Linked DNA regions of Drosophila melanogaster. Changing the gene in region 1 together with any one later gene gives a genetic interaction. Each region holds a gene or a part of one and is shown on either strand. Other genes may lie near its edges.

Region 1 (6,798 bases):
TTTCGAAAAAGGTAAACATTGTTCTATATCCCGTTGAAGCTGATTGTTTTGGCGGTACAAGCTCAGATATAACGAATTGGTAAATACCGTGCTTTAATCCTCATCTCATAAGAATCTTAAAAATGATAAAGATATTTTCTTCGATAGCTTTATTTCAGATATCAAGAGACTTTTGATGATCTTTTCGTTTGTAAGGGATATTTTTTACTTTTAGAAAGTTATGAATATAGTTGTGGGAATACTTATACTTTTGAAATTGCTAAGACATAATGAACAGGGGGAAACCTCTTCAATTTCATTCTCCCTTCTCTCCGTGGTCTGATACTCCCTGCGTTACTCTAATCAAAAGGTATGCCCAGATTGCACTTTGTTTACATTTATACTTTATGGCTTTACCTTGTTTTAAGCTCACCGCTGTTGTTTATGTACACAGAATAATTATATTTAATTGGCGCCGCCAATGGATCGGAGTAAACATTATGGGGAAATGCATAATGGTCTTCCCTTCTTTCTGTGGAATTTTGTATATGACCCTTTGGCTGGTTAGCAGCGGAGCTGCACAAAAAAAAAACATTTGTATCTTTTCTGTTCGGTTCTTTTTTTTTTATCGTTTTGCGGCTTTTGTGTCCCGCTAATGTTGTCGGTCTGATATATCGGGGAGGGTTATCCCCTACTTAATTGGCAAATTATATAGATCCATATAGAGTGCTTGTCTAGATGTGATCAGCAGTGACATTGATGTGACCAGGCAGCTGCTGAGCAAAGGCAGCGAGCAAAAACAAGTTAATAAGAAACTTGTTACGAAATTAGGCAAAACGAGGGGTAGATTGCGAAGTGTGGGTCCAGAGTAGAAAGTCGCATTAAGGATGCCGGCGAAAAACATTCATAAGTCCTCATCGGGGAAACGACGTCATCGCGAAATTGTCGGACGAGCAAGCAGTCAGCAAAGAAACCCCAGAATAAATATTTATCATATACAGTGGGATTGTGTATATTTTGTATGTATTTTTTTAGTTAATAATGAGAAAATAATTATTAAGCACATTTAAAAAATCCATTCAGTTCTTATATATATTTTGCTATTTTTTACAGTATTAGGTGTAAGGTCATAATATTGGCCCTCAATTTTAAAGATCAATTGATGACTGTACTTTAAAGCGATAATGCAAGAAGAGGAAAGGCAGTGCAAAATAAGAATATTTAGAGGGAGGTGGAATAAGCACCTGCACTGTGCACTTCTCTTACGAAGTGGAAGCGTAAATTGATAAGCTGCAAGCTGGAAAAAGTTGCAACGCACCAAAACTGGTTGCAAGCCCTTCCACTTTGCTACACTTCACTCCACTCCACTCGACTCAGCTCACTTATTAGTGCCACCGATTGACATGCGCTGCCTTCTGTTTTGCTCATTCTTCGGAGTGGATCCTCTTCTGATTCTCCCGATTCTTCTGATCCTGCTGTCTTCGGAGCTGCTGTTGTCCTTAGTTTACGCAGCGAGATTTGAGTGAGACACCAGACTGCTGGAGATTCTAGCTGAGGAAATATTGTTTTCTTCAGCCTTCTGACTTGGCATTGAATAGTTGCACGCAATACAAATACAGTGCCAACAATTTCGTACATGGCTGACGTCACAATAAAAGAAAAATGCTTTTTCGAAATTGAAGGCATTCTACAGTGGTCATTCGATAACAATAATAATGTTTTATTAGAGTGGACGTAAGTAATCAAATTAGGAAACCACACAAATGAACTACAATGGGCTGCATGATTGAAAGGGCTCGAATATTGTGGCTTTCCAGCGCCACCAAGTATGCAACACGTTTTCAAAGGAAAAAGTTCATAACGTAACATTTCGCCAACTTTTAAAAATAAACATAAAATTATTTGGTAAATCACAGTAATCATATTAATTACAAAATGAATAGCTTGTATAGATTGTTATTAAAGTTAATTACAATTACTTATTAAAAACTTCTTTATGAGTGCCAACTGTACCTTTGACGAGTGCATCTCCATCGCCATCTGTGACATGCGGTCAAAGACGGACGCAGCATATGGGCCATGGGATAAAGGGGCCTCGTACACTGTCCAATCGGGTTCTTGGGCACGGACATTTTGCCCGTCTAGGTGTAGGAATATGATTTCTGGTTTTGTGCAGGGCAGCGGTGTGCATTTCGTTCTCCTTGTTCTTTTGCGGTTGTCAGGTGGCACATGTGAATAAATCATTCGCGATAAGCGCGAAGTGAGTGCTCATGTTTATGGCCTTAATGGTTTTGGTCACACCAAATAAAATTTGCATTTCAGTGGCAAAACGAGGTAAAATCCGGCTCAGATAAGTTTGAAATAGGAGAAGAGTATGGCGGATAGATGCCATTGAGCGATAACACTGATAGCTCTTAATTACCGCCTAATTAATTAAGAGATGAGCGATGTGCCCCGAATTTCTATTTCCAGTTGGTAGTGCGCTGGAAAGAGTCGGCGCTACTAGGCTGTCAGTGTAGTATGTGTGTGCGAACACGCCCCCTATAACGAAACTACAGGGTGCGAACGAGATAGCTGCAGCACTTCCAAGACCGACTTGGTTGGTCGCTCCCTTCCAGTCGCACGTATGGCGACGCTGGAACGGTTGGTAGTGGAACATCGTTCGCTCTGTCTCACTCCCACGCGACCGCGTCGCTTGGCGATCGCTCGTTGCCAGGACGACTGGAAGTGGCCCCAAACACGCCGCCCGCGTGTTCCATGGCCAGTGTGTTCCGCCAGGACTGGTTTTTCCATTCGTTTCGTGGCGCCGCTCAGTTCTTGTTGGAATCTCAAAGCGTTTACGTGGCCGCAGCGCAGCAGAGTCACGTTTGAAAGAGTGCGAGTGAGAGATAGCGACTTAGAGCACCGCGCCGAGTGCGAGTGAGAGAGCGCGCTCCATCGCCTTTGTGCCTCGTTTCAAATGCCCGTTTGTCCGTTTTTTTGGCACTGTTGTTCATTCATTCACTCGCTTCTGGCGCTCGCGTGCAGTTGCAGTCGCTGCTCCCTCCTAACGGTTGTTTCGCCGTCGCCAGAATCCCGCTAAAAGGTGCGTGCGTGTTTGTGTGTGCGTGAGTGTCCCCCGAATAAGGCAATACAACAACAATAGAGGCGAAAACAGAAACAAAAGCGAAACGCAGCACGCGATACCCTGTAACTGGAGGTTCTGTAAAGGCTTCGAGGAGTCACGTGTGCGAATTGCAGACCGCCGGCGGTCATTCACTTCTATCTATTTTACTATTCCAACACACCCACGCGCGCGTGTGTGTGTGCGTGCCTGAAAAATGTCACTTTGACAACTCGCCTCTGGTTGCTCTGCCGGCGGATCTGCCTACGTCGACGTCGATCGTGCCGCAAAATGAAAATGATTTGCGTGCCGTTCTTGCGTTAGCGCTTTTGGTTCCGTGCCGATTTTGATTTCCTCTGTTGCATGCGTCGTCATCGCAAACATCGCCCATTGATAAACCAGAGCCCACGAGCAACAACACTACCAACACAAACGGCAAAAGTGCAAGTGAAAAAGCAAAAGTGTTGCCACGAAAGAACCAAAACAATAACCTGCAAATCGCAGCCACTCGAATCAAAACAAAACAACACAAACAACAACTCGTTTTTGAAAGCAATTGAAAAAGGATTGAGGGATTTTTACAGTTTTCTGACTAGAATGTGCCATTCAAATTAATCAACACTATTGGTTGACTCTGATGTTTAATAACTTGCTAACATAATCTGTTATACTTTTTTAGTCCTTTGTGAGAAAAAATTGAAACAAATTTAAATATATTCTTTTTATGAATAATATATTTTCAAAATTTACCAAAATATAATTTTCAAAATAAAGTAAAGCCTTAATATCATATTATACTATTCTACAATGCAAGGCAAAATCAAATCGTATTAGACAACGGCTCCATGACATTGCCAACTTAAACTAATTGGATTTATTTTAGATAAACTGAAATCATTCTCCGTCGGGACTAATTACTTAAAAAATCTATTAGGTTGAACCGAAGTTATCGCCTTAGAAAATCATACAACCCACAATCGAATGAAAAAAAAAATCAAAATTCCCAGCCTTTCTCAATTGCTGAATCACAGTTTCGCATTAAATCCCTCATTTAGCTCTAACCAACTGAAACTACAGTGCAATATACACAAAAAAATAAAAAACAAAAACAAAAGGAGCGCGAGAAATGAAAAAGCAAACAAAATGTAAGCGTGATGATAATTAAAAATAAATACAAAGAAGAAAAAAACGAAATTTACGCGTGGCTACAACTCCGAAACCGAAAACCGCAGCAGGATCTCAGCGGATCTGATCGCACTCAGCTCCTGGCTGTGTCTGTGTGCGAGTCCGTGTGTGTGAGAGTGTGTACCCAGAGCAAGCCAAATCAATAAATAAAAACCAATTACAAAAGGAAAAAAAGCGAAATAAGAAAGCCACGACGAGGAAACAACCTGTACGACAGACGAGCAGAAGGCAGCAGAAGACAACAACGAAATATTGATACGAAAAATAATAAGAGTTAAAATCATTCACGACGGCGACCATAACGAACTCCGCCCTAGCAATGAGCCAGCTGGGCACCGTCTACGCCACCAAGCGAAGGCGACGCAACGGCAAGAGGTGAGTCCAAGCCCCAGTCCAATCCCACAAACCAATACCGATCCGAATCCCAAGATACAGATACGGATACGGATACAGATTCAGATATAAATGCACAGCGGGAGGCGGAATGTTTGTGGAGCGGGTTCTTGGGTGCTCTGTTATTACTGAAAGATTTCAATCAATGCGATTGGCTGCACTTACCACTTACCAGCTTGCCACCTTGTGGCGCCACCCGCTGACGATCCATCAATCTCCGTAGCTACTGGTCTTGAATACCCCAGATTCGATTATTAATGATCCGGTGGCCACTTTGTTGACAAATTGCCATCGCCATTGACTTTTGACTTGGCCCTCGGATGAAATGAAGGGCGGTGAATTCCCCCTTTGCCGCCCGATAGCCTCAAATTGATTTGCATTATGCATGTCGGGGCAGGTTACCGTGAAATTACAGTAGCCAAACAGTTGATGGAGATGATGATGAACGGTCATGCTGATGATGATGACGATGACGGCGGCCCCTCCGGCTGTTCGCTGGGGGAGATCGGAATCTGCCTGTCCCAAGGTGCACATAATTTCTGATAATTTTGTGTACTTAGCTGCTGCAACCGCACAAAGCATAATGTTTTCAATATAAATATATGAGAACTCACGCATTATCATGAGCAGCACTGCTAAATATGCAGAAGGCGAGGAGCGGCAACTGCAGCCCGGCCACGCCCCCTCGCCAAGTGCAGACCACCGATCGCTAATGTTGCGACCCCCATAATCAAGAGCCACTGATCAGCTTCAGCGCCTCAGTCTTGAAAGGGTGCAGAACGGGGCAGCTCAGGTCTGCGTAGATTATCTTCGGAAAAGCGAAGAACCAGGATCTATTTAGGATAAGCACGCAGTTGATAGATTGGTTATCCAACTCATCTAATATGGCGTGTAATGTTCGTCTACTTAGTTGTAGTCGGATTAGTAAACCAGTTATTAACAGTATAGCTCCATTTCAAAGATACTCTACGGGGAATATTTACTATTAACCGCTTAGCTTTAGTATTAAAATTTTACATTAGATGTTTTAAAAGATTTCGATATAGACCTTATAGATAATAATAACTTTATATGTTATTATGATATTATTTCTATTAAAACTTTACCAACTTAAACTGAAACATTTGTTTGTACAAGGCGTTGTGCACTTCAGAGTAAGTTCCTTGTGTGCAATTTAATTCCCCTTCTCCTTGAATTTCGTTTTTATTAAAGTTCCCGACTACGCCGTAAAACTTCAACTTAATACGTTTCACCATCGACAGGCAGTCGCGTAATTCGCTGTTCTTGCTAGTCTGATAAAGAACAAAAAACGACAAAAAAAAAAAACAATTACGCTTTACTGCAGTTGGCTGAAGAAAAAAAAACAGCAGGGCCTTCGAAGTGCCACCCCGTGGACCTGGTTGTGGGCCTGGCTCAAAGCTGACACCGACTCTGACTCGCTCGACTGACGCAAAATTGTCACCTTGCCTCTCCCTGCTGCAATGCACACCTGCAATTATTCGAGTGGCAGGTCGAGAGCCTCACTCTTTTAGGGTTTTGCGCCGAGCGTTGCATTTGCCCCTCGATCATAGTTTTTATATTTTAATGCCTTTAATGAACTGATCAAAATGTGCTCGCCTTAGCTTCAAGCGGCTCCGTTTTTTAGTGCAATTTAATTGAGCTCCCAAGTGCTGGGAAGCAGCTGCCCTTTGAATTGGGCTTCTCACCCCTAGGTCCTAGCGAATATTACGCATACGACGCATAGACTTACTGCACATTTGGCCAAGTTCATTGTTTGCGTGCAGCTATTTTATTAGGAACTTATCTATTCAATTGCATTTCAGCACTACAAAGTTTGTGCCAGGTAGGAGGAAGTTCCAAAATAAATATATTTGTATGCCAACTTGGTTGATTTCGGTTCGGGTTTTAATAAAGTAATATTTTTAATTAGTATTTATTACAATGTTTATTCTCTCTATGTTTATACCTGTTTCATTTCAATCGACCTTAATATTTGCTCTGCAATTTATTATCTGGCTGATCTAGGAATTCGCGGTATTTTACTTTCCTTCCGTTCTTGCTACGACTTCAGTGCACAGTTTAATTGGAAGCCATTGCATCCGTTTCTGAGAGTTGTTGGCCATTACTACAAGTATTTA
Region 2 (6,595 bases), on another chromosome or scaffold:
TTCTGGCTGTTCGTTTTCAGTTTTCCGTTGATTTCCTTTGAGCGGCTCTTCTTGGGTTTTCTTGGCCGAAAATTAATCGTCTCATTTGTCCAAATGCCCGCTCTTGGCTTTAATTTGGGAATTAATGTTGTTTGGTAATAAAATCGATTTGGCTTCCGTATTTGCCTTGCTTCGGGAAGTGATTTCTCGGCCAAGTGAGATATCAGAATGGGAAAAGCTTAAGGGCATTCCTCTCTTCCTGTTCACTTATGACCTTCCATGCAATACAGTGGCATTATGTTAATCCCTGACATAATGGCTAAGAAAGGCCGAGAGGCCAGCGGACTAGGTCAATAGGAATGTTGGCGAGATAATTGTTCATTACCTTAATCTATTTGAATGTTCCTAATAAGAGGGGTTGTGGAAATTATTTTAATAAATCCATACTAATACAAAACTTCTGTTTGTTTGGATCGTTAAATTTCAAAACTGACGTTATAATATTTTGTAAGTAATCAGCACTAATGGTGTTCGGGTTTTGAATAATACTCTTCCAAGTCAACTTATAGATCAGATGTCCTATATCTACTGATTTATCGATGTCGCAAGCTCATCTGCGACAGTTGATAAATTAATTCGCCTGACTGATTGACTTGCAAACGTGTTCGCTTGACATATTTGCACGTGTCTCGTGTGGCTGTAATTTGATTTTGATCTATGGCCAATTAATCGCGGCCCAAGAGGGGTACCCGTATTACCATTGGCCTAGTCAAGCACAAACAGCGCAGCCCAGGCGCCTCACTGGGAAAAGGAACAGTAGCTGCAGTGCAGTGGCTAGCCCGGGCTAATCATAATTTGCATTTAATAAATATTTCATTAAGTAATTGCAACAATTACGTGCATTTGCAGTGCTACCTTAAATTAGTGCAGCGCAGCCGACCAGGTCATAACTCGGAACGGCGGGCTCCACAGCCGATCCGATCCGATCCAATCCGGACGAGGGGATTAGCATTTCAGTCGGATCAGGCGCTCAATTACCGCTGGATGCTCGATTTATATTTACTTTTATAAACAAACTTAATTCGATTTTTGTGGCACTCTGGTTCTGGTTAATAGCGCCGCTCCGACTCATGCATATGCATATTTTCCCACTTTCAGCGGAAATCCTTCTCAGGTGACAACTGCCTGCTGTTGGGAGAGGGGAAAGGGGTGGAATGGAGACCGCTTTGCCGCCGCTTCAACTGCCAGTTAGGCTAGGCGGACAAAGGTGGAAATTCCGCTGTTCTCTCCGCTCGGTGACTTTGTCTTGTGAATGAAAAAGTCCGCTCGAGCAAACGGTCCGTGTCGCTTGGCCCTAGCCACAAAGCGACATTATGTGGCCGAAAGGACGCCATTTTGAATTGGGCCTACTCGAGCTCTCTGCCCTCTCTCGAAACGCTCAAGGGGGCGTGGCGAGGGAGTTTCTGCTCTCAGCAGGGGGCGTGCTGGGTGCGCAGGTAGTATGTGTGTGTACGAGTGCGGCTGCGAGGGTGTGTGTGTGTGTGTTTGACAGGTGAGCAGGTTGGCCCGATAGACTGGTTTGTCGCTGCCAAAGGCGGCCACTAGGTGGCGCCACAAGTACCAACTCCAAGGAGGCTTTAAGACTCCCTAGAAAGGATTTTCAAATTAAAGGTTCCATTAGAAAATGATAGCAGACCTGTCATATATACCACGCTATGTTGTTTGTGTGCGTAGCGTTTTTTCCTTACAAGCAAGCCCACCGATTGTAAAACGTAAACAAATCATTAAGTTAATTCGTCTGTTGTCCGCAACTGTTGATTACCCGTGGAAATGCGTGTGCCACAGTTTCGATTGATCCGAAAATAAGACCCGAAAGGAGCAGCGGCTAAATAAGAAGACAAATTATAGGTTCAACAATCAATTTAATAATTGAGACCTTTGCATTTAATCAACATTATTTAAAACGTCAAAATATTTGCACTTTCCACGGGCAGTTCCCCCTGGAATTTGCATATACACGCCGTAAGTTCCCCAAATCCGTGGGGACGCGGGGCGACAGGCCACGCCTCAATCTCGATGCGGGCCCTAGACCTAGACAAAGTTGACGAGTTGAGCGGCACAAAAACGGGGTCCCAGAGCCCAGCCCCACCCCCGTGCACCCGGAACGGGGAAATTTATAGTATTGGTGCGGTTTCTGCACCACCATACAGAGACACCACCGAGAAAACCGGTTGCAAACCACCCGATTGGCGACGCTCGGCGAGAGTCACTGCCAGCGGCTTGGGCCTCAGCAGCCGTCCCGCTCCGACGCACGGCGATGGATGACATCTGCGCCGCTCGCACACCACTGCTACAGAGCGGCAAAGCGGCACGGCCGCAAAGCGACAGCGCAGCGAGTCGAAGTCTCGCGCAACCGCGCCGCGAAAACCTCACCTAGTCGTATACGCACTTTGTTCGTGTGCAGTCGTCGCCGCTGTTCTCGCCGTTGAATTGCCGTCGTCGATCCGTCGTAGCGTTTTGCGCCTTGCGTTTCTGCGTCGAGCTAAGTGATCCGTCGCGGACTATAAAGTGATTTGTAGTGATCTGATCTGATCTGATTTGATATGAATTGATTTGATTGATTCGCAAAACGGAGTTGAAAATCGTGAAAATCTACAAAGAATATGCACAGCCAGAAATCGAAGTGATACAAGAAAGCAATTTCGAGTGAGTTGAGTTGCTAACAAGTTGAGTGTCAGTGCTGAGAAAAGTGCCTCCTCGCCATCTGAAAGGATTTACGCGCTCAACAGTTCCGCCAAATCAAGTCGCCGAACTGAACTGAAGCCAAGACATTGTGTCCTACAAAAACCTTAGATACGCAAGCCACACACTCCTACTGTGCAAGTATAGCTGATCATTGCCATCGGATCTCTGAGAACTTCCTTCCCGCGCGCATCCCCCTGAACAGCCGTCAAAATTCTTGATAAAGTGGCCTCAATAGGCGCCAACACGCTCAATTTCACGGACCTAGGGAGCCCCTACGAGGGGCCTCCCAGCACCCCCCAGTCGGGCATGGACGCCCCCGACGCCCCGCACACGCCCAAGTACATGGACGGCGGGAACACGGCGGCCAGCGTCACGCCCGGCATTAACATCCCGGGAAAGTCCGCCTTCGTGGAGCTGCAGCAGCACGCCGCCGCCGGGTGAGTGTCCCCAAGATCAGTGGAGTGGAGTCACCGGGAGGATTGCAGAAAGTGTTTCGGCGAAAAGACTCGATCCCCTCCAGACTTCAGCCCTGCCAAAACCAAACCTATCGGAACTCAATCTCAATCTGTGCGGAGCAGTTGACACACCCGAGAAAAAAGGAGTTTGTGGCCAGGGCGTTCCCAAAACTCGAATATGAATCTTTTTAATGAATCTAAAGAGCGCTATACGTACCATAAAACCATTTGGTCTTTAAAATCATTTCATTCATTTCAAGGGAAAAAGTTAGTTGGCATAGGACTACAAGCTGCATAATTGCATAAATAGATAATATAGTACATTGACATTACAATAAACAAATTCAATTTTTAATAATAAATAACAGTTGGTAAAAGCAAGCAGTTAAATAAAGTCAGGTTAACTCAAGAGTATATTGTCTAAGTAGTTCATATAACTTTTTAGGGTCTTAATTACTGATTACATTACAATAGCCAATAGTCTTATTTCGATCGATACATAAATTTTACTATTAAAAAACTTGTATAATTATTAGTTGTCTTAAAAAATGAAAGCAACCAATTGTAGATTTATGAATTCGTCAATGTAATCCAAAGTTAAAAATTATTTTGACTTCCATAAAAATGTACTTCTAAAGTAACAAATGTAGTATAAATTCGAAATCACAATTTTAAATTTCAATTTGCCAATTCGCCATTTAGCCTTCTCTAGGCCCTCAGCCAAATCGACTAAGACTGAATCGATGAAAGTTGCCGTCAGCTTTCCATCTTTATGATACTATTTTCGGGATCGATTTCGCGTTGGGGTCTCGCTATACTATTAGTTTTGATTAAGAAAATCACTTCAGCTGCACTTTCCGGCTTACAGTTCATGCTGGTGCCTGGCTGGCCGGCAGCGGAAGCCAAAAATAAATTCAATTAAGTGTAGTTTACTCCCGGTCCGTGTTCTAAATAAGCGTCTGATCCGGAGGGTTCTGTTCCTATCCAACAACACGTTCCTCATGGGGTAGCAATAAGTCGGGCTCGGTGGTCTGTTTACTGTTACCGCTCACTCGGCGAACTGTTTGCAGCCGCAAATTGTTTTCCCAACGCACGATTCGATTTTTCATTATACATATTTTATTGCATTCTTGGTTTTGAGCCTTGCGGTTTCCACTGCTCTGTCATTTGTGCGTGTTGGGCTCTTGGGCTGGGACGGGACTTGGAATGCTTGGCTGCGCCGACCAGCCCTCGGGAGTTGTTCCTGGCCACGACTTTTCTCCGTCCCCGGAGTGGCTGCCATGTTGTTCGCTGTTCGCTGTCCGCTGTCCGTTGTCCGTTCTCCGTTGTCCGTTGGCCGCTGTCCGTTGCGGTTTCTGCTGCTTTCGGCCCGCTTCCGTTTCCGTGTTTGAGGGGCCAGGAGAGCATTGAATATTTCATGCAGTTCGCTCGGAACATAATGCATGGGAACTTGCTCAACTGTTTCGCCCGCAAAGTGTTAACAAAATATTTACCGCGAGCGAGCGGGACTGCAAACGGAACTGCGGACCAAACCGAAACTAAAACACAGCGACTCTGACACTCGTATTGATTTTTCTTTGATATATTAAGCCGCATCCAGTTCGGGCTTTGGATAGGTTTTGGTTTTGTTTTTGGTTTCGGTTCTGGTTTTTGTAAATGAAGTCATGGCAAAAATTTCCTTCCTCTCCGCCAGCCTAATTTTTTGTTGTGAGAGAAAAAGTTTTGGTTTCGACGCTTCTTGCATTAAACATGAAACATTTTGGGCCCACTTTTAGATATTTTCCCGACCGAACGCTCGTCCTATGCTCGGCGACGTTTGAATTTAATAGTGAATAGTGAAAAGTGTAGACAAAACACGCAAGTAGGAAAAGTTTTGTCCCCGGCACGATTCATTCACATTCACAGCCGGTGTACGCCACTTCCATTACTTCCACTACTTCTTCCACAACTGCCACAGCTATATTACAGCCCCGTATTGATTATTTTCCGTGCATTTGCGGCATTCCAGGTACGGCGGCATCCGGAGCACCTATCAGCATTTCGGACCGCAGGGCGGCCAGGATTCCGGCTTCCCCAGTCCGCGCAGCGCCCTCGGCTACCCGTTCCCGCCAATGCACCAGAACTCCTACTCCGGCTACCATCTGGGCAGCTACGCCCCGCCCTGCGCCAGTCCACCGAAGGATGGTAAGTACTGCTCCTCCTTATCCGATCAGTCTCAGGCCCAATCCCAGTCCCAATCCCATACCTACTCTCCCAGAGATCCGGGTCTTTTGTTGAGAAAGAGATCTTGAAAAGATCTCGCTCGTTGCTTCCCTGTCTATTTTTTGGCGACACTTCAACTCGAGAGCTCAACGCCGTCGAGAGCCATTGTGGTCGCCTTCTGCGGGCTTTGTTTGCTCGTTCACTTCAAGTTCGACTCGTCTCAATTAGGCTGCCTTCACTGTCCTCTTGCTACTGCGCTGCTTTTCACTTTTATCAAATTTCAATTTCAATCGGCTATAGATCGAAGATAAAGATATCAGACTTCATTGTGTTTATACGCCTCATTATAATACTTCTTTTCTCGTAGATCTTCCACTAAGTTGTTCTTTAAAGGTCTTTTTATTTCACACTAATAAGTTAGAAGGCTATGTAGATTGAACGCTTCATTGGAAACTTGCTTAATTTATAAAGACATCTAAGTTGACACAAGCTCTTTAATACGAATAATTTAATGTACACGTACTAAAATCGAAAATGCCAGGTTAAGTTTTAGGTAAAATATAATGCACGCAAGTCTTTTTTTTTGACATTTATGTTACTTTTCCTTCCCATGAAACGTATTCTATTGAAATTGTGGGACCTCTGGAAGCTCTTTGTTGCTCATCCACGTACGTGCAATTTTCCCATTTTATTTATTTTTACATCTCTCTACTTTTTGTGTGTTCTTTATGTTTTTTGGAACATTTTTCCCAGTCTCTGGCATAATTGCGCGCTTGACTGTGACAACTCGTTGTTGCTGCGATGCGGCTGTCTCTCGTATTTGTTGAACAATTTGTTGCTATTTCGATGCGTTTTGGTTGAGCAGTTTTGCTTTTCGGTGAGTGAAAAGCAATTCATTTTTATCCATTGTCGGGGATGTGAGCACCGTCAAAAGCAGTAAAAACAGTGGAAACATTACTAACGACAACGACAGCGCCAACGCTTCAGCCAGCCTCCATTTGTTGTCTTTGACTTTCGTCACTCATACGCAACGTGGGCCAATTAACCTTGGTGCACTTGCTCTTGAAACCGCTCACTTGCTCACCGTTTGGACCTGGCTAAGAGATCTGCAAAACAGTTGATCGTTAGAAGGAATCCCCATGTGTTTGTAATCATAATTGCTGCAATTAGGCTTTCGTTAGCCTTAATTAATTACTCCATTCTGTTATGGGCGA

The links. Genes that interact genetically often act in the same process or in processes that back each other up.
Region 2: of ss (region 1) and Dll, changing one suppresses a phenotype caused by changing the other (phenotypic suppression), as found in Drosophila melanogaster (one study listed by BioGRID).

The regions. Positions count from the first base shown.
Region 1 is NT_033777.3:16,399,684-16,406,481, reverse strand, and holds the start of ss (spineless), read left to right. Parts: upstream 1-2,791; 5' UTR 2,792-3,064; exon of another isoform or gene 3,065-3,086; intron 3,087-4,137; 5' UTR 4,138-4,586; coding exon 4,587-4,642; intron 4,643-6,798.
Region 2 is NT_033778.4:24,812,407-24,819,001, forward strand, and holds the start of Dll (Distal-less), read left to right. Parts: upstream 1-2,415; 5' UTR 2,416-3,030; coding exon 3,031-3,161; intron 3,162-5,187; coding exon 5,188-5,363; intron 5,364-6,595. UniProt on the Drosophila melanogaster protein: Transcription factor that plays a role in larval and adult appendage development. Specifies the identity of ventral appendages (including legs and antennae) and suppresses dorsal appendage development. Involved in patterning the distal-proximal limb axis.